Danio rerio: one gene and its partner. The protein of the gene in region 1 interacts with the protein of each later gene in a pairwise test. Links are inferred from orthologs where the notes say so. Each region holds a gene or a part of one and is shown on either strand. Other genes may lie near its edges. The genes, in order: lmtk2 and myo6b.

Region 1 (15,470 bases):
CACAATACTCACTCTTCAGATTATTTTTGTTTTATTTTTATGTTCGTATTGTTTGGGTTTTTGCCAAAATCTGCTTCAATTCTATGTTAACAGCTCCTTCAGAAATATTAGTCCCAGGAGAAAAAAAATGACAAAATGTTCAATACTTATCAGGGCTCGAAATTAATTTTTTTACTTGGTAGCACCGGTGCTCCCAACTTCAAATATTTAGGAGCACCAAAAAAAATTTAGAAGCACCCACCAAAAATGAATGAGCACCGCTGCAAATAGTTTTTTAAGGTATTTATTGTATTTTAAAACAACATCAATAGGACTAACAAAAACCAGAAACAACTGTCTAACTAATGCTGTGATGACTTGATATTTGTGTGCAATAATTCCAAAATGAATGTCTAATAATTATAGAATATTAATGATAATGAAAATGACAATAATAGTAACAATGAACTGCCTTGAACGAGCATGAATATCTGCTATAAAAAGTCTGTTACTTTATGAAAAATAAATATATAGTTTGCATCAAACAAAAATTAAGCATTGCAGTAAGAAATATTTATTTTGTGCTGTTTTATATGAATGTCAATTTAATAAATAATTCAATTCAATGCTGAAAGCTGCAAAGCAGTCATCAGTAAATAAATAAAAAATAATATACACCTCAAAAAAGAATAGACGAAAAAAAAAAGTAAAGTCTCACTTCTATCACTCTTTAAAAGTTTTGGTTTCAGTTTGTGTCAATTTAAAGATTCAGTCTGAGCTGATCTTATTTTTCTGTTAGTGGAAAGCAGGCGATTCAGCCGACCCAATTTATGAGCAGGCAGAGCAGGATTCTTGCTGTGACCACCGGCGCAAAACCGCTGTTTGTTATGATGAGCCGCAGTTTCAGTGTAAACTTAGTAAAGGCGAGCTTCTTTGATGATGATATGTACAGTATTAGATTTGACTTTAAGCGGACATTTGCGCTGAACACGCAGTGAATGCAACGCATCGAGATTCGGGCGCTTTCTCCGAAAAGCACGTACTCGATTGATCTCAGCTGGCAGATATCCATCACGTGTCATGATCGCTCTCATCTGCGCCCTCAACTTTAGGTGGGGTTTGCAAACCTGCATGCTTTAAGTTTTCATTCTTCAGCCGTTTGTATTTCCCGTGGTCATTAAAGCTCCTTCCCTGTCATCTGACAGCGGAATACCTTGAGTGACTGACAGCTAATATGAACCAATATAGCGGCAGGGAAGAGCGATTCAGCACGTTTTTACAAAAAATCAAAACAGGTCGCACTACAACCATTATCTGCAGTCGCACTAATGCGCCAAAATATATTATTAGGTCGCATAGATTAATTTTCGGGCGCATATGCGACCAAAATGGTCGCAATTTCGAGCCCTGCATATATTCCTCGCTGTATATGAGAAAACAGAAAAAAAAGCTTTTTTTTTTGGCCTTGTAGTGTCTTCAAGTGGACCGTTTTAAAACTCCAACTGAATCTGTCCACACAAATGCCAAATCGGGAAAACAACACCGTGTCCAATTGGGTCATCTCCACTGCTGTGTGAAGAACATCACTTCATTATGCAAGAGAGCCGAAATAAGAGCTGACAGCTCGGTGTTTATTGGCCTGAGAAGCAGTTGAATAATTCGTGCCGCTTGCCAAGTCATGATATAAATTCATGACTCAGATAAGAAGAACAAATGGGCAGGCGATTGTGCTGCTGCTGCCCGCTGCTCGTCATCAGTCCGGCTTCAGTCTAATGGTCAACACATCTCTCAAACACTTACAGCTGCAGCTACCGAGCTCAAACAGGGATGTGTTTTACGCACACATGCTAAATAATAAACGGAATACATGGATGAATAATAAACTGCATGAAATACACCCTGACACATATATTTAAATGCTTTTTAAGTAGTCCTGGGCAAAGATTAATCTTAATTAATTGCATCCACAATAAAAGTTTGTTTTGACATAAGATATTTGCTTACTGTGCATATTTATTTATCATGCATATATAAATACAAACGTGCATGCATATAATTAAGAAAATGTTTATTTGGAGATTATATATATATATATAGATGTAAATATATAAATATGATATGAATGTGAATATCTATATTTAACAAAATTGTTCTGTGTAGCTTTGTTTTTGTGTGTGTGTGTGTGTGTGTGTGTGTGTGTGTGTGTGTGTGTGTGTGTGTGTGTGTGTGTGTGTGTCACATATACGTAAATGTATGCTCACTGGCCACTTTATTAGGTACACCTGTCCAACTGCTCGTTAATGCAAATTACTAATCAGCCAATCACGTAGCAGCTACAGAGGGTTTATAGAGAATGGTCTGAATAAGAGAAAATATCCAGTGAGCGGCAGTTCTGTGGGCTCAAATGCCTTGTTGAAGTCAGAGGAAAATGGCCAAACTGGTACTAGCTGATAGAAAGGCAACAGTAACTCAAATAAGCACTCGTTACAACCGAGCTCTGCAGAAGAGCATCTCTGAACACACAACACGTCCAACCTTGAGGCGGATGGGCTACAGCAGCAGAAGAGCACACCGGGTGCCGCTCCTGTCAGCTAAGAACAGGAAACTGAGGCTACAATTCACACAGACTCACCAAAACTGGACAATAGAAGATTGGAGAAACGTTGCTGCTCTGATGAGTCTCCATTTCTGCTGACACATTCGGATGCTCGACTCACAATTGGGCCTCAACAGCATGAAAGCATGGATCATCCTGCCTTGTATCAGCGGTTCAGGCTGGTGGTGGTGTAATGGTGTGGGTCAGATTTTCTTTGGGTCCATTAGTACCAATTAAGCATCAACGCCACAGCCTACCTGAGTATTGCTGCTGACCATGTCCATCCCTTTATGAGCACAGTGTGTCCATCTTCTGATGGCTACTTCCAGCAGGATAACGCAGCATGTCATAAAGCTTAATCATCTCAGACTGGTGAACATGACAATGAGTTCACTGCACTCAAATGGCCTCCACAGTCACCAGAGCTCAACCCAATAGAGCAGCTTTGGGATGTGGTGGAACGGGAGATTGGCATCATGGATGTGCAGCCGACAAATCTGCAGCAACTGTATGATGCTATCATGACAATATGGAGCAAAATCTCTGAGGAATATTTCCAGTAGCTTGCTGAATCTACGCCACGAAGGATTACGGCAGTTCTGAAGGCAAAAGGGAGTCCAACACTTTACTTGTAAGGTGTACCTAATAAAGTGGCCAGTGAGATTTATATTGGGTTATTTTGTATTAGAAATAATTAATCTTTGACCAGATTTGCCAAGTGATTCTTACCAGTCGTGTTGGACACTCAAGACTGACCAATGATGGTTCACCCAAAAAGGAAAAATTCCTGTTAATTTACTCTCAGGTCATGCTAAATGTATGCGATTTAGTTTTTTTTTTTTCAGTAGAACATTAAAGCAGATTTTGAGCTGAATCTATGGTGTTTCCTATAATGGCTGCAAATAGTGACCGATTTTTTTCGATTGAAAATAAAACGTATAAAGTGTCCAAATCAATAGCCATGGCTCCTGATGACACACTGAAGTCTTTTGAAGCAAAACGATTGATCAGTGTAAGAAATTCAACAAAATTTCCAATTTTATTAGCTTTAATCCACAGCCTGGTCAAGCAGTTATTGGTGAATGTTGTCCAATCGCTTTTTATTTATTCGTTTATTCATTTCTGAGTGAACTATCCCTTGAAACGTGTAGACCCAACTCAACATTCCTCTTACTGTAAAACCTCTTTTATTGGACTTTCCCTCATTTAATGAAGTCATTTATTACGAGGTTAACTCACTTAAAGAGATATGAAGAGTTTTACCAGGTTTATAACGTGTCATATATTAACTTTACAAATCTGATCTGAATTATTAGGTTTATTAGTCAGTTGTCTTATGTTTATTGGATTGTTTTTGCCATGTTTATCACCTTCTTTGCTGACATGGCATTGAGTAGGAATGCACGACGTGATGCTCTGGCTTGCTCTAAGCTGGTGCATTGACACTTTAACCTTCGTTTCTTTCATTTTAATTGCACATTATGCAACCTTGTTATTGATTTACTCTGTAACTTGAGAAATATGTAATGCGATTCACTCTTGCCCTGGACTGCCACCATTTTTTGTTAATTATTAAACCTCTGACCTCCTTTCTGTTGGAAAGTTTTAGGTTTATTTATGAACTTGTGAACAGCCTCTAAAGAAACGTGAAAATGAGGCAACTTCGTGGAACTCTCAGCGCAAATAAATTGTCATACTTGTTAAAATGATATCTGACATTGTGATAACACTTATGTTATCAAGTTGTCGGCTAGATAGTATGATGCTTTGGGGCTGCACGATACTGGAAAAATATGCGGTGTTGCTTTGATTAATGATATTTTATTTTTTGGCTTGGTTCCTTTATTAATCAGGGACCACAGCGGAATGAACCACCAACTATTCCAGCACAGTGAATGCCCTTCCGGCTGCCACCCATCTCTGACAAACACCCATACACACTCATTCACACACATGCACTGCGCCCGGTTTGTTCACCAATTCCCCTATAGCGCATGTGTTTGGACTGTGGGGGAAACCGGATAAAAACCCACGCCAACACAGGGAGAACATGCAAACTCCACACAGAAATGCCAACTGAGCCAGCTGAGGCTCGAACCAGCCACCTTCTTGCTGTGAGGTGATTGAACATGCATATATTCGACCCACAGACAGTATAATGCATGTAATGTCATGGCTTGGCAGGGTGGATGTTTTTCTATGAAATCTCCTGGCGCTTTACAGTAATGGTACGCCTATGTTGGAGTAATTTGCCTAGCAACAGGTCCCTCGTATACGTCCCTGAGCTCTCGTTGTAAACGCAGGTTGGGTTATAATGTCATTTGACTCTGAGTTCAGGTGCACATTACAGGCAAAGGATGTGGTTGGATGGAAACTCTCAATCCAAATGATCACACGTAAGGAGTTTTCTGCCGCACTGCAAAAATAGAGCCTCTGTTCATTGTGGTTAGTCCTTATCTATTTTGTCAGAGAAGTTATATATTTGGAACGAATTTCATTTGGTATAATTTGATATAATTTGTGCCCAAAAAAAACGTAAATAAATACATTGTGACCCTTTTAGAGTAACATTCTGATGGCCAGTGGCAGAAAAGGCACGCTCAGAATTGCATAATGTTTTGAGCTTGTCACGTGGTGTTGTCGGGGGAAGAGAAGGAGAAGTCCTGGGCTGTTTCTCAATATGCGTTCTTGTCTGTACTTGCGTTCTTGTGTCCTCGTGAAACGTCATCAACCGTCGCCAAAGTACTGTTCCAATTCAAAGTTCACAAAGTACAGATGAAATTCCCGGATGTGTACTTGCTCTGGCCCCTTGGCCAAGGATGCATCGAGAGATGACTTGTGCGAACTTGCGAAGCTCATAAATCCCAGAATGCATTGCAGCGTATTCAGCAAGCTATAATGGAACACCTGAAACAGCTGATCAGCACATCAGAGGAGACTCCGAAACCTGGCAGAAATTGATGAGGGAGACAACCAAAATATGTACTGTTGGTGTGCCTCCAGGAACAGGGTTGGGAGACACTGACTTAGGTCTTCTACTGGGTAAACAGTAATACTAATCAACAACAACAGCAGACTGTCTCCTGCAAAGCAGCTTTTATAAGCAAGTGTTCAGAATAACTCTGCTCGCTCTCATGTTTCATGCGGCTCTGAGGGTGTCCTGCTGGATTACTGATGCCACATTTATTACTATTATCGGCCATCATTCCTGCCACCGATGAAAGATCCTTCTTAGCATATTATTCATACATGCGCATCCTTGTCTGATAATTGTGCAAGACAAACTACTGGGTTAGCAACATGCCAAACACACACACACACATGTGACTGCGGCAGTGCACTCTGTGTTCCTGACCTCTCCTGCCACCAATTATTCCGTCTTACTGTTCAGGACCCCCGGGGCTTGTGTTGTTTTGAAGAGAGCAGTGTTAATGGTGTTGAAACACATCCAGCCTTTCAGCACTTGATATCTGAACTGCTGTCGGACCTGTCCAGACCACAGGTTCTTGTAAATGGTTTGTTTGTTGGCCACTGAGAGATCTGAGAGTCCCTCAAAGACAGATATGAATGGAGAATTAGTGATTTGTTGGGCTAGGTTTTACTTATACTTTGATTAATGTTTACAACAGATACTTTTACTCCACTTGCACTACGTTTTTAAGCAGGTAATGGTACTTTTACTTGAGTGTGATTTTTCACTGCTCATTCCACCACTGCCTGCAAGTTATGAAAGGCCCCCTACCGATCGCACTGGAAAGTGTTTTTTGGTCAATAAAATCTAAAAGTTTTTGTTTTTGACCAGAATTTTGAATTCTGCTGCGTCCCAATTTTTTTATGAAGACAGTTCCACCTTAAAAGGTTTTATATTGTACATTTACAACTATTTTTCAAATGATTTTTTCTGCGTGTGCTATCAAACTTTAAAACAGCGCACTCCTATCAGTCTTCATACTCTCATCCGATAGCTCAGAGTTTGTCACGGGGGCATGACTGAAATGTTCCTGAATGAAAGTGAAACTGAAAAACTGCAGTTAAAGTTAAAAAACGAAAACGGAAACACCCGAAATTAATTGAAACATTGGATAAACATTGGTAAACAAAGCAGCGACTGAACGCTAGCCCAGAAAGTCATGCGGTGTGAAAACATCTGTGATGCAACAACTTTAAAAACCCTGCAGTTTGAATTTGGCATATAATATGATGTAGTTTCATGCTCCGTTTACACTAGTGCGTTTTAGTTTTAAAATGGCGTTTTAGATCAAAAACGATCTGCGTTCATACTAGCGTTTCACCTAGCATTTCTGAACATATGTGCATCCACACTACGCCACCAAAAATGTATATCACGTGACCATTCGCGCACTCTGGGCATGAGCGTTCTAGTATAAACAGAAAACATGCGTCTCGCTCGGCATTTGGTTATTGTTAGTCAACAAACGCCGGTTGAACAATGAACGCGATGGCAAAGAAAGCAAGAGAGGTATTATTGTGGACAGACGACGAGGTCGAGTTACTAAACGTAACAAATGAATAACTGCACAATGGCGCCTAAAACAGACAATAGTGCAAACAACGCTCCCATTTCTGTGTCCATGTTGTTGTTTACAGTACTGTCTTCCGGTAGCGTTGAAGCCATGTGTTATAGTCATGTGATAGGGGCTTGACGAATAAGGGAAGGATACGCAATGACACAAAAGCCCCAATCAGGTAGCGAATCTCAGCAGCCCCGCCTCCGTTTTCAGATGTCTCCGTTTTCCCTCATCCACACTGAGTTGGAGCAGCAGCGTTTCAGAATAAAGCCAGCGTTTTTGAAAAGCTCCATTTTCTGCGCTCGAGAACTCCGGCGTAGTGTGGACGGATGGCGTAACAGTAGCAAAACGTATGCGTTTTAAAACAAAAATGCATTAGTGTAAACGAGGCCTGAGTCAGTATCGATCTGCCCTATATGCGCACTCTGCAAGGTGTGTAGGACCCCGCAAGTTACCAAAGGGCCGCTACTGATCACACCAGAAAGTGTTTTTTGGTCAAGAGCATCTAAAATTTTTGGTTTTGGCCAGGAATTTTTAATTCTGGTGCATCCCTATTTTTTATAAAGACTGTTCCACCTTAACCGCCACCTTAAAAAGATTTAATATTGTACATTTACATCTTTTCAAAGTGATTTTTATTTTCTATAATGACCCATTCCTTCAGTTTGGAGCTATTTATTTAGTGTATCTCTGTGTGTGAAGTGTCAAAAGTAATTACTCTCATTATAATCATTCGGTGCTGTCCTGCTGTGCCGTTCCTCCAGAAAGCAGATCCATGTCCTGAAGCACAGCTCAGCACTGACTCAATGAATGAACGAACGTGTGTGCATGTCAAATAATGCTGCGCAGCACAGGAGGGATTCCCTCTGAGAGATCATCTCTCGGTCAGCATCTGAGCTCTAATCATGTGTGTGTGTGTGTGTGTGTGTGTGTGTGTGTGTGTGTTCAGCAGAGGCTGCCGGATATGTGGATGTGTCTCTGAGCATCCCGCTGCTGCTGTCTCTGGCCGTGACGCTGGCCCTCGTGGTCCTGCTGCTCAACTGTGCTTCCTGCTGCAAAGAGCAAGAGATCAACTTTAAGGTGAGTCAATGGCTGCGTTTACATGGACAACAATACTCTTATTTCAGTACCATTAAGACAACACTGGTTAAGAGTCGACCATGTAAACAGAATTTTGATGACCTTAATCCAGCTAAAGTCATATATGTAGTAAAAACAAATCATATTAAGATTAGTATTATTAAGTATTAGTATTCCTGTTTTAGTGGCATTATTGTAGTGCAGTAGAGACATGTAAACACCCTAATGCAAACTATTACAGTCATGTAGGACTTTTAACTGCGTATTGCAATAGGAGAATCCTTGCACACACAGCTGTTTTTGTAAAAGTTACTCGAGTAAGAGTAAAAAAGTTTGTGTGTGTATGTGTATATACATATATATACAGTAATGGAGGAACGCCACCTAGTGTAGAGAAGTACGAGTACTGATTTTTCTCTAATAATTTACTTGAGTGAAAGAACACATTTTTTATTGTACTGAAAAAGTACATGTTACCCATTAATTTTACTCAAGTAAATGTAACGAAGTAATTGGTTACTACCCAGCTCTGCATCCGATAGCTCAGAGTTTGTCTCGGGGGCATGACTCAAATGTTCCTGAAGGAAAGTCGAAAAACGAAACCGTTGAAATGACATGAAACAATGGATAGTGTGGTGACGTGAATTGAACATGTTAAACATGAAAGGAGCTTTCTGAAAGCAGCTCATATGAACATCTTAAGGCTGATATATACTTCTGCGTCAAACGCTGGCGTATGCTACGGCGCTGACGCATAGCCCTTCGCCGTGGCCAGCGGCGGCGCTGATGTGCACCTCTAAAAAATTGTAACTACATGTCACAACGACGTGTAGCACAAGCTCTGTGATTGGTTGGCTTGGGAGCGCTGACGAGTCTGGGCGGGACCGAGAGCCGCGTGAATGGTGCGAGCCTGATGAAGCGATTGTTTACAAGTGTGGAGTCCCGTGAAGGAGCTCCAAATGGAAAGTTTTGTTTTGTGTTTACCTCTTGTTAAAGTTGTTGCACGTCCGCCGGTTCCTGCCTCAAAATGAGCGAGTTTGAGTCACTTGTACATCCAGGAAGTGTTCAGGAAAACAAAACAGCAGCGAAGAAACTCGACACAGAGGAACATTTACACCTCGCTGCCCACTTGTGTTTCGGAAGTGTTAATGCAGACCAACAGAGACAGCAGCAGAAGTATAAATGCACAGCGTTGCATGAGCCGTGGGTTACACAAGTCACATGACGCAGAAGTATAAACCAGGCTTTAGTCATGTTAGTGCCTCATTTAGATTAGGGCAGATCATTTCAATAATAATGTCTTGTGTGTGTGATCTGTCAGGAGTTTGAAGACCACTTTGAAGATGAGGTTGATTTCACGCCGCCGGCGGAGGACACCCCGTCTATGCAGTCGCCCGCTGAGGTTTACACACTCGCTGTTCCCCCTGTGCACCTGCCCGGACCCCCACACCTCCAGCTGCCCCGCATTACAGGTCAGCAACACATGCACACTGTGAAAGACTGGGGTTTAGGCATGGGATGATAACCTGTTTCAAGGTTTGGCAAGGTTTTAAAACTGCTAAGTTGTACTGTTATACCGGTTCTGTAAATATACACTCACCGGCCGCTTTATTAGGTACACCTTTCCAACCGATCGCTAACGCAAATTTCCAATCAGCCCATCACATGGCAGCCGCTCAATGCATTTAGGCATGTAGACATGGTCAAGACGATCTGCTGCAGTTCAAACTGAGCATCAGAATGGGGAAGAAAGGGGATTTAAGTGACTTTGGACGTGACTTCAGAGATGCCTTTTCAAGATGTAAAGTGTTTCTGAAACTAATGAAGACAGCAGAAGTCAATGATTTGCTTTAGTTATTCAGCCTGACATGTTTACTGCTCCAATATACTTTAAATGTGTCTTAAAACCAAATATATTGTGTTCAATGAGGGATAAAGGCCCAATCTCAATTCTACCCCTTAGCCCAGGGGTGTCAAACTCAATTCCTGGAGGGCCGAAGCCCTGCACTGCTCCAACACACTTACCTGTAGGTTTCAAACAAGCCTGAAGGACTCAATTAGTTTGATCAGGTGTTTTTAATTGGGGTTGGAACTAAACTGTGCAGAGCTGCGGCCCTTTTGGAACTGAGTTTGACACCTGTGCCTTAGCCCTTCCCCTTACTCTTACCCCTCGTTTTGTGTGTGCCCGTGAAGGGGTAGTGGTGTCCTAATTCTCTTTAGCTTGAAGGCGTAGGGCTAAGGGCAAGGCGTATACACCCCTTCAAATGAAGATTTTTCCAACACCACACTCGAAACCAAGGGGTAGGAAAAATTTCCCAGAATACACTAGCTCCAGCTGCGCCCGGAAGTAAGGAGATCCACTAATTAGTATTTTTTTTTGTCATTATTACCAATTTTTACAACAAACAAACACATGTTTTAATACATTCATAACCGCGTTCGTGTTTTACCGTCATGCTTTAAAAAAAAAAACGCTAAAATAAAAACTTTCGCGATCTATAATCCCCGATCATAACTTCTGTACTGCAGTCCCACAACATTCTGACACTCGATGACACTGAAATACCCTGTCAGAAAAGTCTAGTGGCTGGGAATGGGCTTTTTACAGTGTCTGCTATAATGTTAATTAGAGCTGCACAATTAATCGATAAAAGATGGCGATCTCGATTCCACCCCCTAGACCAGGGGTCTCAAACTCAATTTACCTGGGGGCCGCAGGAGGCAAAGTCTGGGTGAGGCTGGGCCGCATAAGGGATTCCACAAAAAAAAGTCCTCAAATGTCATTATTAACAGTTTTAATTATTTCTTCTGAACATGAAGTGTCCTGAACATTAACAGAACATTGAGTGAAGATTATGAACAGTTCTTCTGAACATGGCATCTTTTGCCTACTTCTTGCTGCCAGAGACTTGACAGCGCTTCTTCTCACAAATCTGAACCACATTTGGCTTTAGAGCGGAAGCAGTTGAGACCCTCAGTATGGCTTGAAGATGATCATCATTAAGTCTAGACCTGTACTTTGACTTATTGAAGTCCTAGGGAAAAAAATGGGGGAACTCACTCAAAACTTCCATTCCCTCACCTAAAAAAAGCGTATATATGTATAAATAAAACACCCCCACCCCACTCCAGTCACATCAGTCTGTACCAGTCTGTATCTACCTATAATATCAACACAATCTCACGGCAATTCGTAACTTTTTCATTTAGTGGCTAATTCGTATGAATTCGTACGATCTAATTCGTACAATTTAGTACGATTTGCTCATCCCCCAATGACGGTTGGGGTTAGGGGTGGGGTTAGGTGCCACGCCTCCTTTTAAAAATCGTAACCATTTCGTACGACTGAACTCATACGAATTCGTACGAATTAGCCACTAAACTGGCAAAACGTAAAATACTTACGTTTTCTCGTGAGATCAGGCTGATAATATATATAAGATGGAGGGCAGGCACGTGCACACATAGGGCTCAAGTGCCCTTCCAAAATGATCAAAAGTGCCCCCGCGACGCGACACACCCTCGATCCCGCCCTTCAGTAGGCGCGCCATAACACCGCTCTTGAGTACGCGCGCGACAACACAGCTGATCAGAACGCGCGCGACAACGTGCATTGAGTGACAAGCGCGCTGTGTACGGATAGAATCAGCGGAGCGGGGAGCGCTCTCTCTCCCCGCTCCGCTGATTCTGTCAGAGTACAGCGGTCGGCGCGGGCCACAAAATATTGCACTGAGGGCCGCAAATGGCCCGCGGGCCGCGAGTTTGAGACCCCTGCCCTAGACGATCTTTATCCAGCATTTCTACGATTCTGCCAATCATGTTTTCAAGTTCAGGAGAGAAGAAAACGCGGCTGCACGAGTCTTTTCATTGTTTCACATACGTTGTTTAGTGACATTGACACCTCCAAATGATGTTGAATGAGTCTCATACTGTATTTATAAGGTATAATTTACCTAAAAATGTCATTTTTGTCTTCATATAATGATGTTTTCGCGATCAGGAAATCACACGTGACGTGAGCTGCTGACCGCAAGCTGTTGTCACAGAAAGAGCGCGCGCGCGTCTACTTTAGTGAACAGAACCTGCATATGTTGCGAGTAACAGCTAATACAGTTGTTAATAATATTCAGTTTGTGGCACAGAGTGATCGTTTAGGAGCTGCGCGTGAAGTATGAACATCACTTAGCAGTCAGAATGAAACTGAAAGTGTGCACTTCATTTAAATGATCGTATCGCATTTTAGAGTTATGATTACGACAAGCATTTGATATGTCTTTTCTTTCATAGCGAACACACAGTTGTGCATGAAAATAAATGTTTACAATGTCAGTATAACTACTCTAGCTTATATATTGTTGAATATAATCTGATAATGACAAATGTCTGATTTTACCAGTGAATTAAATTGTCTAATATGACAGATTGCAAGCATATATCTCAAACATAATAATTCAACATCAGAATTATTATAAGTAGAAAAGAATCGTTTATAGAAACCAGTAGACCTACATGTTATATTATTATCGATGTTGTGCCATATGTTTGTTTTTACCATACCTTTATTCTACATATACAGAATCGTGATCTTTATTTTAAGCAAAAAAAATCGCGATTCTCATTTTAGCCAGAATCGTGCAGCTCTAATGTTAATGTTGGTGTGTTTACATCAATGAATATGGCCACTTTGTAAATGCACAGTACTGTTACGATCTTATTGCCACATCAGATCATTATGATAGCATAATAGAAGGCTTCAGTGATCTCCTGAAGATAAATACCAAAAAATAACACAACTGGAATCTCTACAGTAGCAGCTGTTGTTTTTTAGCCAGACTTTTAAGAAGAGCATGTTTTAGAGCAGTGACCAGAATACCACCAGAATCTTATACCGGCCCATGCTTACTGGGGATGCTACATTTTAACTAATGTTCCATAAGAAGTCTTCTCAACAGTGCGTTTATATATTCGAAAATATTGCAAAAATAGACATTGAAGAACATTGGTGCACTTTTTATTTTTAGTCCTCCCATTAACCTACAGATCAACAATGCACCAGTAAAACGGAACAATAGCTGTAATATTATAACATCGGCAATGGCAGTGGCTCATTGTAAAATGTGAGATTTACTGAAGGCTGTCCTCTGTGTTTGACGGTTGTGTTTTTCTTTCATGTTAGACGTCTCTTCCGGTCCTCACGTGGCACGACACTCTCTCAGTTACATTCAGGAGATCGGGAACGGCTGGTTTGGAAAGGTAAATCTCCTCTGTTTACACTCTGTTTCCTCTGTTTACACTGTGCACAACAAAAGCGTGATGGTATAATGATAGACTTTAAAGCTGCAGGATATTGAAAAAACATGTGACGTTGTTGAGTAGTGCGATAACGGTGTTTCTTACGATGCAACATTTCCCAAAAATAAAATGCTTTTTTTATTAGCTATGTTTTTTTTTTATTTTAAATAAATACATTTTTAATAATAAAATAAACAGGTCAAATATATATTTTAGGTCTAATTATTTTTAATTCAGACTAAAAAACGTTTTAAGATGCAAATATTTAGTCATTTAAGCACACTGAATGAGTGAAAACTGCGCAGATATTCTGACTCTGATTGGCTGTTGTCTTTTTCCTCTCTCGTCACGACTTATTAGTGTTTGTTTTCAGCTCTGGCTTCAGCGCTCTAGCCAATAGCAGAACAGCAACTTCTAAGGAGGTGGGGCTAAATATAGCAAGGCCCCAACTGATTGGTTAAATTTATGTAAACAACAAATGCTTTGAATAAATGTCATGAGTCAATGTGATATGTTTATTGCTTATGTTTATCACGATAACAATAATTTTGTGATATACACTACCTGACAAAAGCCTACTACAGATGACCTACTCGAACCCGCATGGACCAATATTCTCATAGAAATCAGTCAAGTTTGGTGAAGGAGAACTCATGGTTTGGGGTTACATTCAGTATGGGGGCGTGCGAGAGATCTGCAACATCAACAGCCTGAGGTATCAAGACATCTGTGCTGCCCATTACATTACAAACCACAGCAGAGGGACAATTCTCCAGCAGGATAGCGCTCCTTCTCATACTTCAGCCTCCACATCAAAGCTCCTGAAAGCAGAGAAGGTCAAGCAGCTGCAAGATTGGCCAACCCAGTCAACAGATATGAACATTATTGAGCATGACTAGGGTAAGATGGAGGAGGGGGTGTTAAAGATGAACACAAAGAGTCTTGATGAGCTCTGGGAGTCCTGCTGAAGGCTTTGTTCTTCATTCCAGATGACTTTATTAATCAGTGATGTCAGTCATGTCAGAGATGTATGGATGCAGTCCTCCAAGCTCATGATGGAGTCAGACACAATATTCATTCTGTCTCCACTGCAGCAGGACTTTATATTCTATACTGGACATTATTTCTGTTCAGGGACGAGACTTTAGTCTGAGCAGAGTCAGACCTTATTGTCCTAATCAAATCATTAATAATCAAGACATGATCAGATTTTATTGTGCTCAAATAAGCAAAATCTAGAGGCCTTCGCCATTCATATAAGACACTTCTGACACCACATGATCAACTAGAAGTCAAATTATTGCTTGTTTCTAAAACCCTGGATAGGTGACAAGACTTTTGTCAGGTAGTGTATTGTGCAACAGTGTGTGAAAGCAAGCGTTGACTTCAGAAGTATTTGTGAAGGAGAAACGTGCGGTTTCTCTCGAGGATTAATCTTAAATAACCGCATTTGGTGCTCTTGTTGGTGCTTGCTTTGATCTCTATGCTATCGGCCCCCGGGGGGCCAGAGTTTGACGTGAGCGAGGGAGTGTGTATACGGCACTGAAGACGTTCTCCTGCATGTGGATGTGTTTACTCAGATTAAGACTTAAGGGAAAACCTTGTTTCCTGGTGCTTTTTTCTGCTTAGCAGAGCCATGGGAACGTGCTCGTCTGTTGAGCTGAGCTGGCCGTCTCTCTAGAAACATAAGCCTAATGTTATCATCGTCTCCATTAACCACATGTTTGAGAAATAACAGTAAGACTAGCTTACTCATATTAATCTTTATTTAACATCTGTCATGAGAAAATTGTGATCTTCATTCTGAGCAAATTGATTGTTATTTTATCCAGAATCATGCAGCCCTAGTTTATACACACAAACTCTTATGTATAAATGTTAAAGGGCCATGAAAGCTCCTCGTTTCAGCAGGGTGTTTTCACACCTCTACTTTGGAAAAAGTCAAAAAAGTGGGCGTGTCCAGCTCTGTTTAGGGGGGAGTGTCGGAGGAACTA
Region 2 (16,144 bases), on another chromosome or scaffold:
TTTGTTGCTTTAATTTTTACTTAATATGTTCATGTAAAAATTTTTGTGACTTTTTGGCATTGTTATTTATTTATTTTTTATTTCTTTTATTTTTTTGCATAAATATGGGTTACAAGTATTTCGTTAATTTTTACAAATAATTTAATTGGGTCTAGTTTATTTCATATTTGTAATAGTTAACGTACATTTTTACTTCATCACTATTAGGCGTCATTTTTAACTAATTTCTGTTAAAATAAATTACGAATTCATACTTTTTTTAAACACAATTACTTGTCAATAGACTTTTTGCCATAATTCATGTTTCTATTTCATAAATCAGTCTGTCTGTCATAATTAACACAAAAAAGTGTTCTAGTAAACAACAACGATTCTTGTTCTTGGGCAACACAAAAGTATTAGCCCTCAAAACTAATTCTTTTTCAAATATTTCCAAAAGGATATTTACCTAATTAAAAACATTTTCACAATATTTTCTATTACACTTTTAGATTTTTTTTCTTTTAGTTTGGCTGAATTAGAAGCAGTTTAAAAAATAAAAAATAATAAAAATAATAATATTAAGATTTATTTCTCTTAATTGGCTACAGAACATTTCACTGTTATCCAATGACTTGCCTAATTAAGTCTATGAATTGCAATGTAATCTGAAATATGAGTATCTTATGAAATAACAAGTAAAATATTATATATGTGTTTTTAGAAATTAGTTATTAAAACTATTATGTTTAAAATGTTGAAAAAATCTGTCCTATAAACAGCCTTTACTATTTGAAATTAGAGCTAACAATTTTGTCTTAATGTGTAGGTTGTGTTTGTTAACACTTCTAGATGTGACTTGATCAAAGGTTCAGGTTTTTGTACTAGAAATATATGTAAATTCGTCCATATAATTAAACATTCTTATTTTCACATTTAAACATGCCATTTTAACAGACCTGCAATATGAGAAATGTTCGGTGTGTACTTTTATTATTATATTATTACCCATTCATCTGTGAAGTCTATATTATATTGGCTGGCCAAACTGAATATGTGTGCTAAGATGCAGTAGTTACAGCCTTTAAAGGGTTAATGTGCGTAATATAGTGAAATATGAGAAGTTGAAGCAAATGAACTATATCTGCAAGACTGTACAGTTCATTAAAATTCAAAGTTCAAAAGAAAGCTTGTATCATTTGATTAACTTTGAAACCTTGAAAAAGACCACCTGCGAAGGCCTCACCTTCTTTCCCCTCTTTTGGGATTGGCTCCCTGCTGTGTTCTCCATATGAGGAACTCGCTTTATCTCCTTTAATTCAGAAGTGTTAGAGCTAATGAGACTCTTTGAGTGGATCATGCACTCCACACTCAGTTATTACTTCAGTGCTTTGTGGAATTACCCATCTGCCAGCAGGCCAGCAGCATATGGAATGAGGTGTAATTTAAGCTCAAATGTTTTTGAGGGATTGGTTACCGTTTGAGGTTCAGGAAGAGCTGAATACATATGAATGTGTTTGTATATATTTGAGTCATTTAAGTAGTGGCTATTTAAATGGGTAGCAATCAAATTAGTTGAATCATAAAACATATTAAATGTGTAGTGACTGATTTATAATTGGGTTGTTTTTGGTTATTAAATGCACCCTCTAGAGTTTATAGTGCATATAAGTAGCTTCAATTATTAAAGCTTTCGATAAAACAATATTTTCAAGGTCATTAGTCAGTTTATTTTGCAAATTTACCTGGACAAAAGCTGTTGCTTATAGCCTTTTAATTCATTTACCGATGAGTCTATTTTTGTTTTGTTTTTACATTTTAATTCAATTTAACAATGTTTTAATACTGGAATTTGTTTAAAACTTTTCTTAGATTATTCCAGGATTGTTATGTCTGTGGATGTTGGATAATCTAGTAGCGCTGTCAGGGTGGCATATTCTTGATCGTGTTTTTTTTTTTTTACTACAAATAGTACATATCTATATATTTCATTTCGTGATAAAACATACCAAAATTACTTGCAAGTGTAGAATGTTGTAGATTTTACTGTAGTTTTTAACAGTATTTTTGGTAAAGTTATACACAAATAAAATTAAAGTGAAATGTTATGTTTACATCATGAATACCTTAGTATCACAGAGTCACTAGTTTTTTTAATAGTATTAATTACTTTTGTTGCACAGGCATATTTTTTGGCATTAAATCTATTGTATGGCTCTTTATTATTGATTTTGTGCTACCATAAGTATATCAAAACTATAATGTTAGTTATGTACACTCACTGGCCACTTTATTAGGTACACCTGTCCAACTGCTCATTAGCGCAAATTTCTAATCAGCCAATCACATGGCAGCAACTCGATGCATTTAGGCGTTTAGACATGGTCAAGACGATCTGCTGCAGTTCAAATTGACCATCGGAATAGGGAAGAAAGGTGATTTAAGCGACTTTGAACATGACATGGTTGTCGGTGCCAGACAGGCTGGTCTGAATATTTCAGAAACTGATGATCTACTGGGATTTTTACGCACAGCCATCTCTAGAGTTTATAGAGAATGGCCTGAAAAAGAGAAAATATCCAGTGAGCGGCAGTTCTGTGGGTGCGAATGCCTTGTTGATGGCAGAGGTCAGAGGAGAATGGCCAGACTGGTTTGAGCTGACACACGTCGAACCTTGAGGTGGATGGGCTACAGCAGCAGAAGACCACACAGGGTGCCACTCTTGTCAGCTAAGAACAGCTAAATGAGATGGAATTTAGCACAGGCTCACCAAAATTGGACAATAGAAGATTGGAAAAACGTCTGGTCTGACGAGTCTCGATTTCTGTTGCCATTCAGATGGTAGGGTCAGAATTTGGCGTCAACAGCATGAAAGTATGGATTCATCCTGCTTTGTATCAACGGTTCAGGCTGGTGGTGGTGTTATGGTGTGGGGGATGTTTTCTTGGCACACTTTTGGCCCATTAGTACCAATTGAGCATCATGTCAATGTCACAGCCTTCCTCCGTATTGTTGCTGACTATGTCCATCCTTTTATGACCACAGTGTACCCATCTTCTGATACTTGAACAATGAGTTCACAGTACTCAAATGACCTCCAGTCACCAGCTCAATCCAATGGAGCACCTTTGGGATGTGGTGGAATGGGAGATTTGCATCATGAATGTGCAGTTATGATGCTATCATGTCAATATGGACTAAAATATCTGAGGAGTACCTTGATGAGTTTATGCCATAAAGGATTAAGGCAGTTCTGAAGGCAAAAGTGTGTCCAACCTGGTACTACAGTAGTAAGGTGTACCTAATAAAGTGGCCGGTGAGAGTACATTACTACTCTGTAAAAACAAATCTTGCTGCCTTATTTTTTTAGTTAAATCAAATGAACTTGTCTAGCTTGCATCCAACTATTAAGTTACATTTTGTACAACGTAAAAAAAAACAAAAAAAAACATGAAACCGGATTAGCTCATTTTAACAATAATGTAAAGTAGCAAAACATTTGTTTTCATCACTTTGCTTGATTTATTTTTACAGTGCAAGCATTATAGACTCAATTTAAAGACAACTTTCCTTGATGTTTAGTTATTTTTTTCTGATATCCCTACTGAAAAAACAACTTTAACCAGCCTAAGCTAGTTGGCTGCTTTTAGCTGGTTGACTAGTCTGGTTTTAGAGGGGTTGTGGCCACTTCCAGGCTGGTTTCCAGCAATTTCCAGACTCGTCTTAGCTGGTCAGGCTGGGAGATGACTAGGTAAAACCAGCTTGACCAGCCAGATTTAAGCTGAACTTAGCTGGTTTTGGCTGGGCTCCCAGCCTGGCTAGGCTGGTCAAGCTGGTTTAAGCTGGTCATCTCCCAGCCTGACCAGCTAAGACTAGTCTGGAAATTGCTGGAAACCAGTGGCCAAAACCACTTTAAAACCTGCCTGGCAGCTAAAACCAGGCTGGTTTAAGCAATTCTTTTCAGTAGGGATATTTACTAAAACTTGCCAAATCATAACAAAACATACATCAAAGTAACAAATTTATTCAACTTTCATGTGATGTATAAATCTCAATGTCTAGAAATTGACATTTAAAAAAAACATTTAAATTATAAAATTTAAACTTAAATAAAATTGATTTATTTTTACGTCTCGAGATCTGATCTCAGAGCATATTCATACTCTAGTTATGCTGGTTATTTTATGTTTTTATTTATAATGTGTCCCAGCTGGCATAACCCCCTTACTTCATATGTTCTCCCATTAGAGCTAGTAATATAGGCTACATAAAAAATTATTATTTTAAGATAATCATTTTGCTATAAGAACTCTTTCATATTTTTTGCTTCTGGCAAATGTGCTCTGGTACACCTTGCATGCTTTATGCACGTTTGTTTTTATGTCTGCAATGCTCTTGGGAAATGCAGAAGTCAGCGTGGCATTAAATCTAATTAATGGAGCTTCTTCAGGCTCACCAGATGACTTAAAACTCTTGTTTAGCTGTTTCTGGGGAAACTGATGTCGAATATTAGGCCTACTCTGTCTCCATCCCAAGATATTCTGTGAGACTATACGTAACTCAAGCTGGAGGCTATAGTTAACCTGTATAACACCCCAAAGCAACAGCATGAAGTCGTATATGGGATGAAGAGTGGTTGTCAGAGTCTTAAACACACACAAAAAAACTGTTTGTTATAACTTTTTTGCTTAGAAATTTGATATAGCGACACGTAGTGAGAGATCAGGTGTCCTAATTAGATTTACAAACACAAAGTCTGCTTTCAATGTGGTTTAAGATTTCAACTTAGGAATACTTCTATACGTTTTGAATTACAAGCCAAATAAAATATTAATGAGCCTTCAGTTTGTATCAGTTGCGCGCCTTTTAGTAACTATGGCAACCCAGTAGGCACCTTGTGACTTTCTCCTCATCCCTTAGCAAGTTTTATCCATCCTGAATTAAACTTTACTAGTACGTTAACGAACTGGGACTTGTTTTAGTACAATAATACAGTTTATAACTTGAAGAACTGATTCCAGCCACCAGAACGTTTTAACTTAACCTTCTTTTAGTTCCCAGAACGTTCTTTTAAGGTTTTTGGTTAGCCAAAATGAAAACAACATTAGCTTTAACGTTAGGTTGTAAAGTGTACACAAGACGATAATAATGTGCTTGAGGGGATAACTTTTAATATTAGACGACCTGTTTTAGTATGTTTGATGTTTTTATGTGATGATAACACTATTTTTTTACATAACACTAATAAGCAGCTTGATTTGAGCGATAAGAACTGGTAAAATTTACCATGACATACTATATATTTAGTCATTAAAACTAAAATATTCCTCGTAAAACATATTCTATATCACCTTTATAGTAAACAACCAGTTATTCGTGTCATTTAGATCAATCAATGTATCGGCTACGTCTTAAAAGATTAGTTTGCGCCCTACCTAGGCAGCATAATGGTGCGTCATGTATTTGTAGTGAAGCCCGTCAAGTAACTTATATCATTGTAGCGCGTACATGTAAAGTCCACTGCACTCGCCTACTGCATGCCGCTTTTACTCAAACTATTTTGCCAGTCATGACCCTGTGTATTGAGACACCACCTGTGTCAGTCAGCGCTACTGTGTCACCGTTGAGGTCGCTGTTATTCCAGTGGACTTCAGTCTGAAGCCGGACACACAGAGAGGAACGACAGCGGCTTTGGAAAAGGGAATATTCAGCATCGAGGAGGGAATCTGTCACCGCTAACCGGGACAGTCTGTCGCTCATCTGTCCTCAAAAGAAGCTGCTCTTACCGGATTTACACACAATGTGAGTGACTTCGCTTACTTTATTTATTGCTTGACTGCGCTTTGTGGCAACTAAAGGTGTTGTTAGGCGTAAGTTGTGTTTAATTGCTTCTACAGTGGCGCGCTAGCATGCTGCTAATGAATGTGTTCATTCAGTATGGTTACAGTGAATTTTGTTATGTCAATGTTTGCAATGTCATTTATTTTTGCAGAATTTTGTTTAAAACGCAGGGTTGTATGACAACGAGTTCGGTTAACAAACTACTAGGAATACATGTATATCAGCGATAGTTAAATTCATTCTTAATCTTGCTTTTGGTTGTGTTTAGTTTTTTTTCTTTGAGAGCTTTTTCTATGGTGTTTTGTAAGCTGCGTGTGTGTGTGACCAAAGTTTTCCAGAAAATTAGTTAAGGCAGGCAGTATGTCATGGAAACTCGACAGGATATCCTATGTGTGCAGTTATAACGAGTGTAACTTTCTTCTGAAGTTGTGGAAACCATTGACAGAGGTAACGTTAGTTATTTGGGTTCCAATCGTATGAATGATGGATGCTTTAAACGCTGAATTAGGTGACTGTAAACTGCCGTTTGTGCGCATGCGCGACTGCTCTGGTTAAACGTCGTAATGGTTCCACCTTTATAATCCCCCAAGGGTCATTCTACGAAATGTGTGTCGTTTAAAGCGATTTATACTTGCATTTATGCACACATACAGTATGCATGACATTAATGTGGCTATTGCAGCTAGCTTTTAAAATGATTTTGGTGAGAGCTTTAAAAATAAATAATAATAACAAAACTTTACATTGCAATTCATTCATTCATATATTCATTCATTCATTCATTCATTCATTCATTCATTCATTCATTGGCCACACTTCATTTTATGGTAAAACTCTTGCTATTAATAAATCATTAATTTTGACTTGTAGTTTGACAAACTTCTACTTTGCTGCTTATTAATAGTAAGGTTTTAGTTGGCTTTATGTGTTTGGTAGGGTTAGGGATGCAAAATATGTATTTTAAGTACTACCAAACAGTTAATATCTCATTAATATACAGGCAATAAGCCAGTTGTTAATAGTAAGAATTAGTACTTGAACTAAATTGTTACCTATTTCATATGTTGTTGCAATTTTGCAATAATCATTTAAGAGATATAGCCTTTAAAATATATTTGTAGAATTTTGGACTTATGTAAACAGAGCATCTTTAGGTGCCAAAAACTCATTTTGTTATCTTGTCATATTAGTGTCAAAAACTATATACTGTATAATATCCACCCCCCCCCCCCCCAAAAAAAAAAATAAATAAAAAAATTCAGATATGTGTGTGTGTGTGTGTGTGTGTGTATATTAGGGATGCAACGATTATACATTTTGGTTGTACGATTATAGTCATGGAAATAATCACGGTTTCACGGTTATCACAATTATTATGCATTTATTAATTTCAAGCCCCACCAGTTTAGAAAATAAGATAAAAACTCCTTTTGCTTTACAGTGTTATTTATTGCTGCTCAGTAGCTAATTAATAAAGCACAAAATAATATAAAAAACGAACAATAGTAAATTTCTCTCTTTGTGCTTAAAAATAAGTGAATGTTTTTGACATTTAAACAAAGAATTTTACACTGTAAATAAATGACAGAACAATAAATAAATAAAAGAAAGAATAAATAAAAAAATGTAGGAGCACCCACTAAAAATTAATAAACACCACTGCAACTTGTATATTAAGGGATTTATTGTATTTGAAAACAACATCAATTAGGACTAACAAAAACCACAAACAACTATCTAACTAATGCTGAGATGACTTATTGATATTTGCGCAATAACTTCAAAATGAATGTCTAATAATTCTAAAATATTATTGATGACGAAGATGACACTAATACTAACAATGAATGATTAACATTTCTCATTTTCTTGCTGCTTTGAATGTGAGAGTTATCTGCTATAAAAAGTCCTACTGTTACTTTATGATAAATAAATGTATGGTTTGCATCAAAAAAATTAAGCATTGCAGTAAGAAAAGTTTATTTTGCACTATTGTTTTATATGCTGGTTAATTTACAAACAGAAAGAATGGACAAAAGAAAGGAAGAAAAGTCTCACTTCTGCTCCTATTTAAAAGTTTTGGTTTCGGTTTGTTCATTGTAAATGCTTAGTCTCGTTATGCTCTGATTTTCATCACTCTGTGTGAAAAAAACAACAACAGTGAGTCAGCCGGCTCATACAAGCGGGGTAGAGCAGGATTCTGTAGATGACCACCAGTGCAGTACTGTTGTCATGAGCCGCAGTTTCAGTTTAAACTTAGTAAAGGCGAGCTTCTTTGGGCGATAATGTGTACATTGTTAGGTTTTACATTTAGCAGAAATTTGCGGTGAATGCAACGCATCAAGATTTAGGCCATTAAACAGCTGATCCAATCCAATTCTTTCAGCACTCTTTAAAATCACTCTGTTGATCTTGGCTGGTGATTTAACATTTACTACATGATCGCTCTTATCGGCGCCATTAATAATAACTAATAATAATAAAGCAAGAGCGCTGTACGTCGTGTGTGCGTCCCTCCAGTGGAAATAATGAACTTGCATGAGCTTGCCTTAGCCTCGGTCATAGTTAATCTAGTGTGCGTGGTTATTAGTCTCAGTGACAAACTAGCGCAGTTAAGTTTCAGCAGTGCAGAAACACGGTGTGACGAATTAAATCGCAGTTAATAGTGAACCCGGTTGCATCCCTAGTGTATATATTGTTTTCTTATTCAAACTGGATCTTGTTGATGCATTTTTCAATGCAGCAGGAAAAATGTATCTCACTTTCACTCAGAAAATCACACCTTCACTTCACAAAATGCATTTACTTGCACAAACTTTCACTTGCCGAGAAATATTTATGATGCTTAGCTTTTATATTTATGTTGACATTTGATCAACTATTTGCTTTATTCATATGCATTTATTCAAATTCCATTATTTTCAGCGTGGTTTGTAAAAATACAATAAAATGGGGTTCAAATTATATTTTAACGAGATTCTGTTCTTTTCACTATTGAAAATGGTGTATATTATGCAGTAATAATATGGCAAAACAATAGTAACATTCAAAATGAGTCTGCGATGAAAATGAGAATGAAAATGAGAATGAAGTCTGCTAGGTTGGACGATATTGGAAAATCCTATATATATATATATATATATATATATATATATATATATATAGTGTATTTGCTGTGTAATTAAAAACACCTAAAGTTACAAATGATGTCACATCTGATTAATGATCATTTGTGGAATGTTAATCCACCGTTTACTCTTTTCAGAGTGGATAAAAGACATTGAGTTTAAAGTCCGCCAAGATATATATATATATATCGATTGGGATGATTCTGTAGTGGAGTGCATCTCCATAAAATCTAATGCATTTAAAATCAAGTACATTATACATTTTCGAAGTGGTCTGTGCTATTTGCAGTGCATTTCTGCATGTGTTGTATTTTATTACATAACTATCTATAAATACAATCAAGAAAAATGTACTCTTGAAATAAAGTGTTTTATCATTTCCCTTGTCTAACAGTATTCAAGTACAGTAAAACAGGGCTCGAAATTAACCTTTTTTCTTGGTAGCACTGGTACTCCCAACTTTAAAAAGTTAGGAGCACCAGCCAAAATTTAGTCACACCCACCAATTATAAGCACCGTTACTACAAGTTTTAATGTTATATTAACCGACTTACTGCATTTGAAATAAACACTAAACAATCTAACAAAACGACATCTGCATGTGCCCACCAGCCCTGCATGCACTGCTTGACATGAATTAAACTTAGTTAACTTAGCAGTTCTCACGGGTGCTGTGTAATATTGCACAGATAAGACTGACATAATAGCTTATTATTTGCATACGTCATCTTAATAGCAATACGGTTTTTTTATGAGCTGCAATATTAGTTTTATCTTAATGAATGCAAGCCCTTTTGCGATTGTGTACGTGGTGTTACATTTTACATACAGCTGACAGCATCCTGTTGATTAAATGAAGAATTAAACAGAACCTCTTGTGCTAAAATGTGTAGATTTGACAAACGCTGTTACCTGCAAACTCAGTCCCAGCGGCTTTACGGTGAATGCTTTAGTCATTTTCATAGCGGACTTTAAACTGAATGTCTTTTATCCACTCTTTGAAAAGAGTAAACGGTGAATTAACATTCACCAAATGATCATTAATCAGATGTGTCATCATTTGTAACTTTAGGTGTTTTATAAAACTTAATCTGTCAGTGTTGTTTTCATCCTCTCATCTCCAGCCCTTAACATGTTTGCGGTTGTAGCTCTCCCTGTCATCTAAAGAAAGCCATCGAATGAGTGATTGGCAGCTGATATTAACCAATCCGTTCGCATTCAGTGCTAGAGCAGTGGGCCAATCAGAAGAGCTTAAAGGTGGAGCAAGCATTGTGGGCTTTGTTTACTGCAGCAAGTTGACATGACAACTGTTTTAAACCATTTATGCGCGCTTTGTCCAACCCAGGCTCATTCTGAAAACGTAGTCCAGCGGATGTTTCTGGAGACCGCGAAATACGTCACGGGAGGTACGTATTTGTGCAGTTATTGTTTTTGCGAATCCGCGAGAGGCCGCTGTGCGCGCTTTTTCGTATCTTGATCGTCTCTCGCGAGTGCCGTTTGCGCCCGCGCTGTTCTCGCGTCAACCGACCAGAGGCCACTGTCTGACTGACCGAATAATTGACCGCGCAACCGGCCAATCGGCTGACCCACCCTCCTCCTTCCCTGAACCCAACCAGTTTTACCTATTGATCCGCTCGCCCATTTACTTTCTTAAACCCGAGCAACAATTTAGAAAAGCCGTCTAGAAAAAGAAAAGCCCTCGTCTGTTTTTTTTTTTTTACCACGTTTTCGGATTTCACCGCATTCTCACCCTCAGTTATGAACTCGTTCGCTTTATTTTTTGGATTCTGTTTTTGTCTTACCTGGTTTCTGGAACCTCTCTTCCCCGGACTCGATCCTGGATGCCTTTTGTCAACTCCTCCTCTCTGCATCTAAAGTCCGCCGACGCACACGATGAGCTGACCGGACAAACTGACTGCAGCAGGAAAGCCCTTCACACGGAGGTAAGCGGTCAGCCGGCAAGCGCGAAAGGTAACGGCGTCACACCGCTTAGTAGCGTTCGATTAAAAAAATGAAATGCAGCCATACGTACCTCCCGGTACGTATTTCGCGTGCTCCAGAAACGTCCGCTGGACTACGTTTTTAGATAAAATTTTGGGCACATATGCGACCAAAACAATCGCAATTTCGATCCCTTTAATATAATAAAAATAAACATAATTTATTAAAATTAATCATAGTAAGGGTCTCAAACAGTACAATCTTGAATCTGAATGCTTTTAAAATCAGTATACACTCACAGATATCCTGCAATGTGACTATTGCGAATGATCACATTGCGATATCAGTGCTGAAACGGTATATTGTGCAGCCCTAGTTGATACAGTACAGTTTTAGTGAAAAATACTAGCATAGCTTGTAGGTTGAAGTGTAAAATGAGCCCATTTCATGATCCTGATAGGAAAAAACAGCTGCCCTGTTTCTCTAACCATGACATCACTGCAATATAATGCAGAAATATCCTGCTGAGGAAACACAATTATGCAAATGCTTCTGAACCAATCATTAATATAATGGCTTTCATAAATTATACATAATCAGCATTGTGGTGTTTGATCCACATTAGTTTTAGTTGCCATCTAGAAGCATCTTGCATACTAACTAATAACATTTGGCTTGCTTAATTTTTCAAGTTCTCGCATATTTGAACGCTCATTTGAATATTTATAAGGCAGCAAAAGCACAGTAAAATGTTGGCTTTGGAAGTCCCAATCACACTGGCCTTTTTGCATCCTGTTGCGTCCTGTTTTCCATATCCTCTGGCTAAAAAGAGAGCAGGAGGAGAGGAAGGAGGGGGAGTTTTGTGTGGTACAGGAAACTCATGTAGCCCTTTGACCCCGAAACATCTCCTATGACAACGCCTGTCCTGCCACGCACATAATTACTGCCTGTGCAATTACTCATCTCTCTGGGAACATCTCGCTGCAAATTTGCGGAGCTTTAGATAGAACAGTGTTTATTTGATGCGGTGCAATGAGCCAAAAAATGTGGGAGAAGAAAGTGTTGTTGAGTGTCACAGTATGCAGACACAGAATATGTTTCTCACAGTTTTGTTGGTATTTTGGATCAGTTTATTCTTGTAGAAGAAATGGTAGATCAGCCGCACGTGCATTGCCAAGTTTATCGTAAATTTCAAGTGCTTGTAGAGTTTAAAATTATTGGATGCTTGCTTTTTAATTTTAATTTTTTTACATTTATTTTTCAATTAAATATTTTTTTTTAGCTTGTTGTTGTTGTTGTTATTTGTATATTTGATCATATTCATATTTTATTTAAGTTATTTTATTATTTTATTTAAGTGCATTTTGTTTTTATTTTATTTATTTTTTTGGTCTGTTATTTATTTATTTATTATATTGATTTATTATATTTATTTGTATATTTTATCATATTTCTATTTTAAATTATAGTAGCCTATTTTTGTATATTTTACTTTAAGTAATTGATTTATTTACTTTATTAGTTATTAACCTATATAATAATAATAATAATAATAACTATTATTATTATTATTATTATTTTTATTCATTTATGTTTTAAAGTTTTATTAGCCAATTTTTTGTAAATTTTGTTTTTATTTATTTGTGTAAAAGCCATTTATTCATTTATTTGCTTTATTATTATTTTTTTTTTATTTGTACATTTTATCATGTTTCTATTTTATTTGTTAAGCAATATATGCCTATTTTTGTATATTTTGTTATTTTATTTATTTATGCCCCTATATTATTATTATTATTATTATTATTATTATTATTTTATCATATTTGTTTTAAAGTTGAATGAGCCTATTTCTTTGTATATTTTGTTGTGTTTAAGCAATTGATGTTTACTTTTAGTTATTAGCTTGTATTAATAATATTAATAATAATAATTTGTGAATTTTATCATATTTGAATTTTAAGTTTTATTAGACAATTTTTTTGTATATTTTGTGTAGATTTATTTATGTATAAGACATTTATTTATTTGTTTGTTGTTGTTGTTATTGTTATTATTGTTATTATTATTATTTTGATAATTATTATTATGATTATTATTTTATTTGTGAATTTGATCATTCTTTTTTAATTGTACGTTTTATCAACCTTTTTTGTATAGCTTGTTTTAATTAGTTACTTCATTTATTTACCTATTTATTAGCCTATATTATTATTATTACTATTATTATTTATTATAATTATTATTATTATTTCATCATTAATAATTTATTAGTATATATTTTTTCATTTTTGCGTTTCCTTTGTTTTAAGTTTTATTTTTTTTGTATTAGCCCATTGTTCATTTATTTATTTGCTTACCGTTACATGTTTTTGCACCTTGCTAGACACAGTGCTTAGGAGTTGCAAGGCAATTTTGGTCCAAAGGTCCTACTTTTATTTTTCCTTTTATCTGCAAATCCATGGTTTCGATGTCTCAGGCATTGTGAACAAACAAAGCCTTTCTCCTCCAATGGACATCTGCATAGTAATAACAATAAAACGTTTTATTGCAGCTCCATCATTGTGACACAATTAGTACAAAGCTTTTATGAAAACGAAATGTTTTGCTAGTAGCATGCTATGGTGTGGTTCATATAGTGCAATAACTGATGTAACAGATGTTATTTAGAAGAAAAAAAAAAACATAACTGTGGAAAGATCTGTGACGTTAAATCTGGATCTAGGTTGCTCTACAGTTTACTCTGATATCTACTACAGGTCTTGCTTATCTGTGTATGTTTATTTTTTCTTCTTTTCCATTACACTTCCTTTTGTCGAACTGATAGGGCTATTCAGTTTACATAATGATTAACCATGGGACCATAATTTTGTACACCAGCTGCCGACCATTGTAATTTATTGAAATTTTGGAAAATCTAAATGATTGTATCACATGAAATTTGGACACGTCTTTCAAAATGCTTTCAAATGTGAATTTTTTACACAAATAACGTAATAGACCCTTTTCACATTTCTGGGTTTCTCAGCATTGATGTCGTCATAGTTGGGTAACTTAGAGCACAGTAAATGGGAAAGTACAAGATTTCTTTTTTTTTTACAATCCTATTTGCTGAAATAATAAAATACAAATGCCTTGATGGTGTTATCAAGACTTTCAGAAAAAGGGAAAAAATTGTGCGAGACTGATAATTGTCGCCAGAGGAGAGAATAACGACATGTTTACTCTCTGCCCCATAGACACTGCATTGGAAACACCTCGCCTAAGCTTTACATACATTTTTTTTGTAATTTGACGTAAAAGATGATATAATACAGTCATAAATGCATATCAATGTAAATAAGTTTAAAAAAAAAATCTAAATATTTAAAACATTCAAGGATTTAAGATTATAATGACCATTAAATGTGTCATAACAGTCTTGTGAAAAGAGTCCGTAGATGTGTCCCTAAAATGACCATGTTAAGGGTCATTCATAGAAATTCACACATTATAAAGGAAAACAAAGTTCTGTGATTATTTACTCATCCTTCACTTGTTTCAAACCAGTTTGAAGTTCTTTCTTCTGTAAAAAAGAAGATATTTTGAGGAAAGTTAAAGACTTGTAAGCACTGACTTCCATAGTATTTGTTATACAATGGAGCTCAGTGGTTTCATGCTTTCTGCTAAATCAAGAGACTCAAATTGGCGGGGACCATTTCAGTGACTGATAATTCATCGGAGGGGCTGTTTTAACATTCAAGTTCAAGACAAAAAAAGGATAATTGAGATAATTGATGCATCTTAGGACAACAGACATGACTTTATATTTCAAGCATTACCTGCCACCAGTGATAATGCAAATCAGCAAGTTTATCGGCTCACACATCAGCTGCTGTAATATATCTGTGGTTGCTGTGTGTATGGCCAAGCATTAGACATGCACTCAGTCATTCTTTTACAGACTATAGGCAGTTAATATGTATAAAAAGAAACAAAAAGCTAGTTTAAATTGCTATAAAATACTACAAATAATAGACATAATAATTATTATTCCGTCCCAATCAATTGTATTGTCCCAGTAGCATAAGAACAGCAGAAAGCAGTTTGGGAAACATAATTGACTTAACTGGCGATTGTTCTTCTCAATATCTTTCTTTCTTTGTAAAACTACAACAAAGAGGGGAAAGTATGTTCACATTTACTTTAACTAGTTTAATTCAACCAGCAGTACAATTTTACTAATGTACATAGTTTTTGTAAAAAAGCATGAGGAAAATCTATTAAATGAGACCATTTAAATGGAATATTAGAAAATAATCTTGTTTGTTAAACCACCAGCATAATGTGTAAGCCATGAAGACGTGTTTGTACAACAAACAAAAAAAGTGGTAAAAACTAATAATAAACGACCCATAAATATTTATAAAAATCAGCCCCAGAATTAAAATGCATGTGTGTTACTCTCGGCTGTAAACTGAGAGAAAATGGAAGTAAAACTAATCAGAATGCAGTACTTTAAATATCGACTAGGTGGCGGGCAAAATCTCGTTATAATTTTGACGGCAGTTGCGGGCTGGAGGGAGGAGGTGGGCCGGCAGTTTGAGACCCCTGTGCTAAATAAATTATTTTGTGTGACAGAATTTAGAACCACTTGAGGGAGAGTAAATGGTGTGTGAATTTCCATTACACTGTCGAACACCTACTTTTTTACGTAAAAAGTGTTGAATTTCACATGTTTTTTCTTTTCTTTTTAATTTTGCAGTCAAAACGTTCAAAATTTCTAAACAAAGTTCTTCTTTCGAAAAACCTGCCCGTAGACCTTTTTTTCCCCCACTTGTCTTGTTTTCACAGCTTGTCTTGTTGAGCCAGCTGCCTCTACATTTTAATTTCATTTCAAATTTCATGTTTTTGTCTTGGTTACAATTTATTGATTAAAATCAATGATATTTTTAGAAACTATGAAAGTGTTTGATTTGCTTTCAGCATTTTCTTAAACTAAACTTTTGATGTTAAATGTGAAATGGTTTCCTCAAAAAACAAAACAAAGCAAAGTATCTGTGAAGTAACTGTCACAGCAGCTTTGGAGGAGTTCTTGTTCTTATATAATGAGCCAACAGATGCTGAAAACACCATGATCATGAGAAATCAGTACTGCTGAAACTCTGCCCTTCATTTACACACCAAAAATTGCCAAATTCTCTGACATTCCTTGTTGCAGTAAACTACACTGCAGGAACAGTGTCCTAGTTAATGGCTAGCTCTAGCACATGGTA

What was found.
Region 2: the proteins of lmtk2 (region 1) and myo6b interact in a two-hybrid assay, tested with the Homo sapiens proteins (2 studies listed by BioGRID). The link is inferred for Danio rerio from reciprocal best matches to the Homo sapiens genes LMTK2 and MYO6.

What each region holds. Positions count from the first base shown.
Region 1 is NC_133178.1:66,140,234-66,155,703, forward strand, and holds part of lmtk2 (serine/threonine-protein kinase LMTK2), read left to right. Parts: intron 1-8,053; coding exon of another isoform or gene 8,054-8,056; coding exon 8,057-8,184; intron 8,185-9,505; coding exon 9,506-9,656; intron 9,657-13,360; coding exon 13,361-13,437; intron 13,438-15,470. UniProt on the Homo sapiens protein: Phosphorylates PPP1C, phosphorylase b and CFTR.
Region 2 is NC_133192.1:38,697,581-38,713,724, reverse strand, and holds the start of myo6b (myosin VIb), read left to right. Parts: upstream 1-5,631; 5' UTR 5,632-5,781; intron 5,782-16,144. UniProt on the Homo sapiens protein: Myosins are actin-based motor molecules with ATPase activity. Unconventional myosins serve in intracellular movements. Myosin 6 is a reverse-direction motor protein that moves towards the minus-end of actin filaments.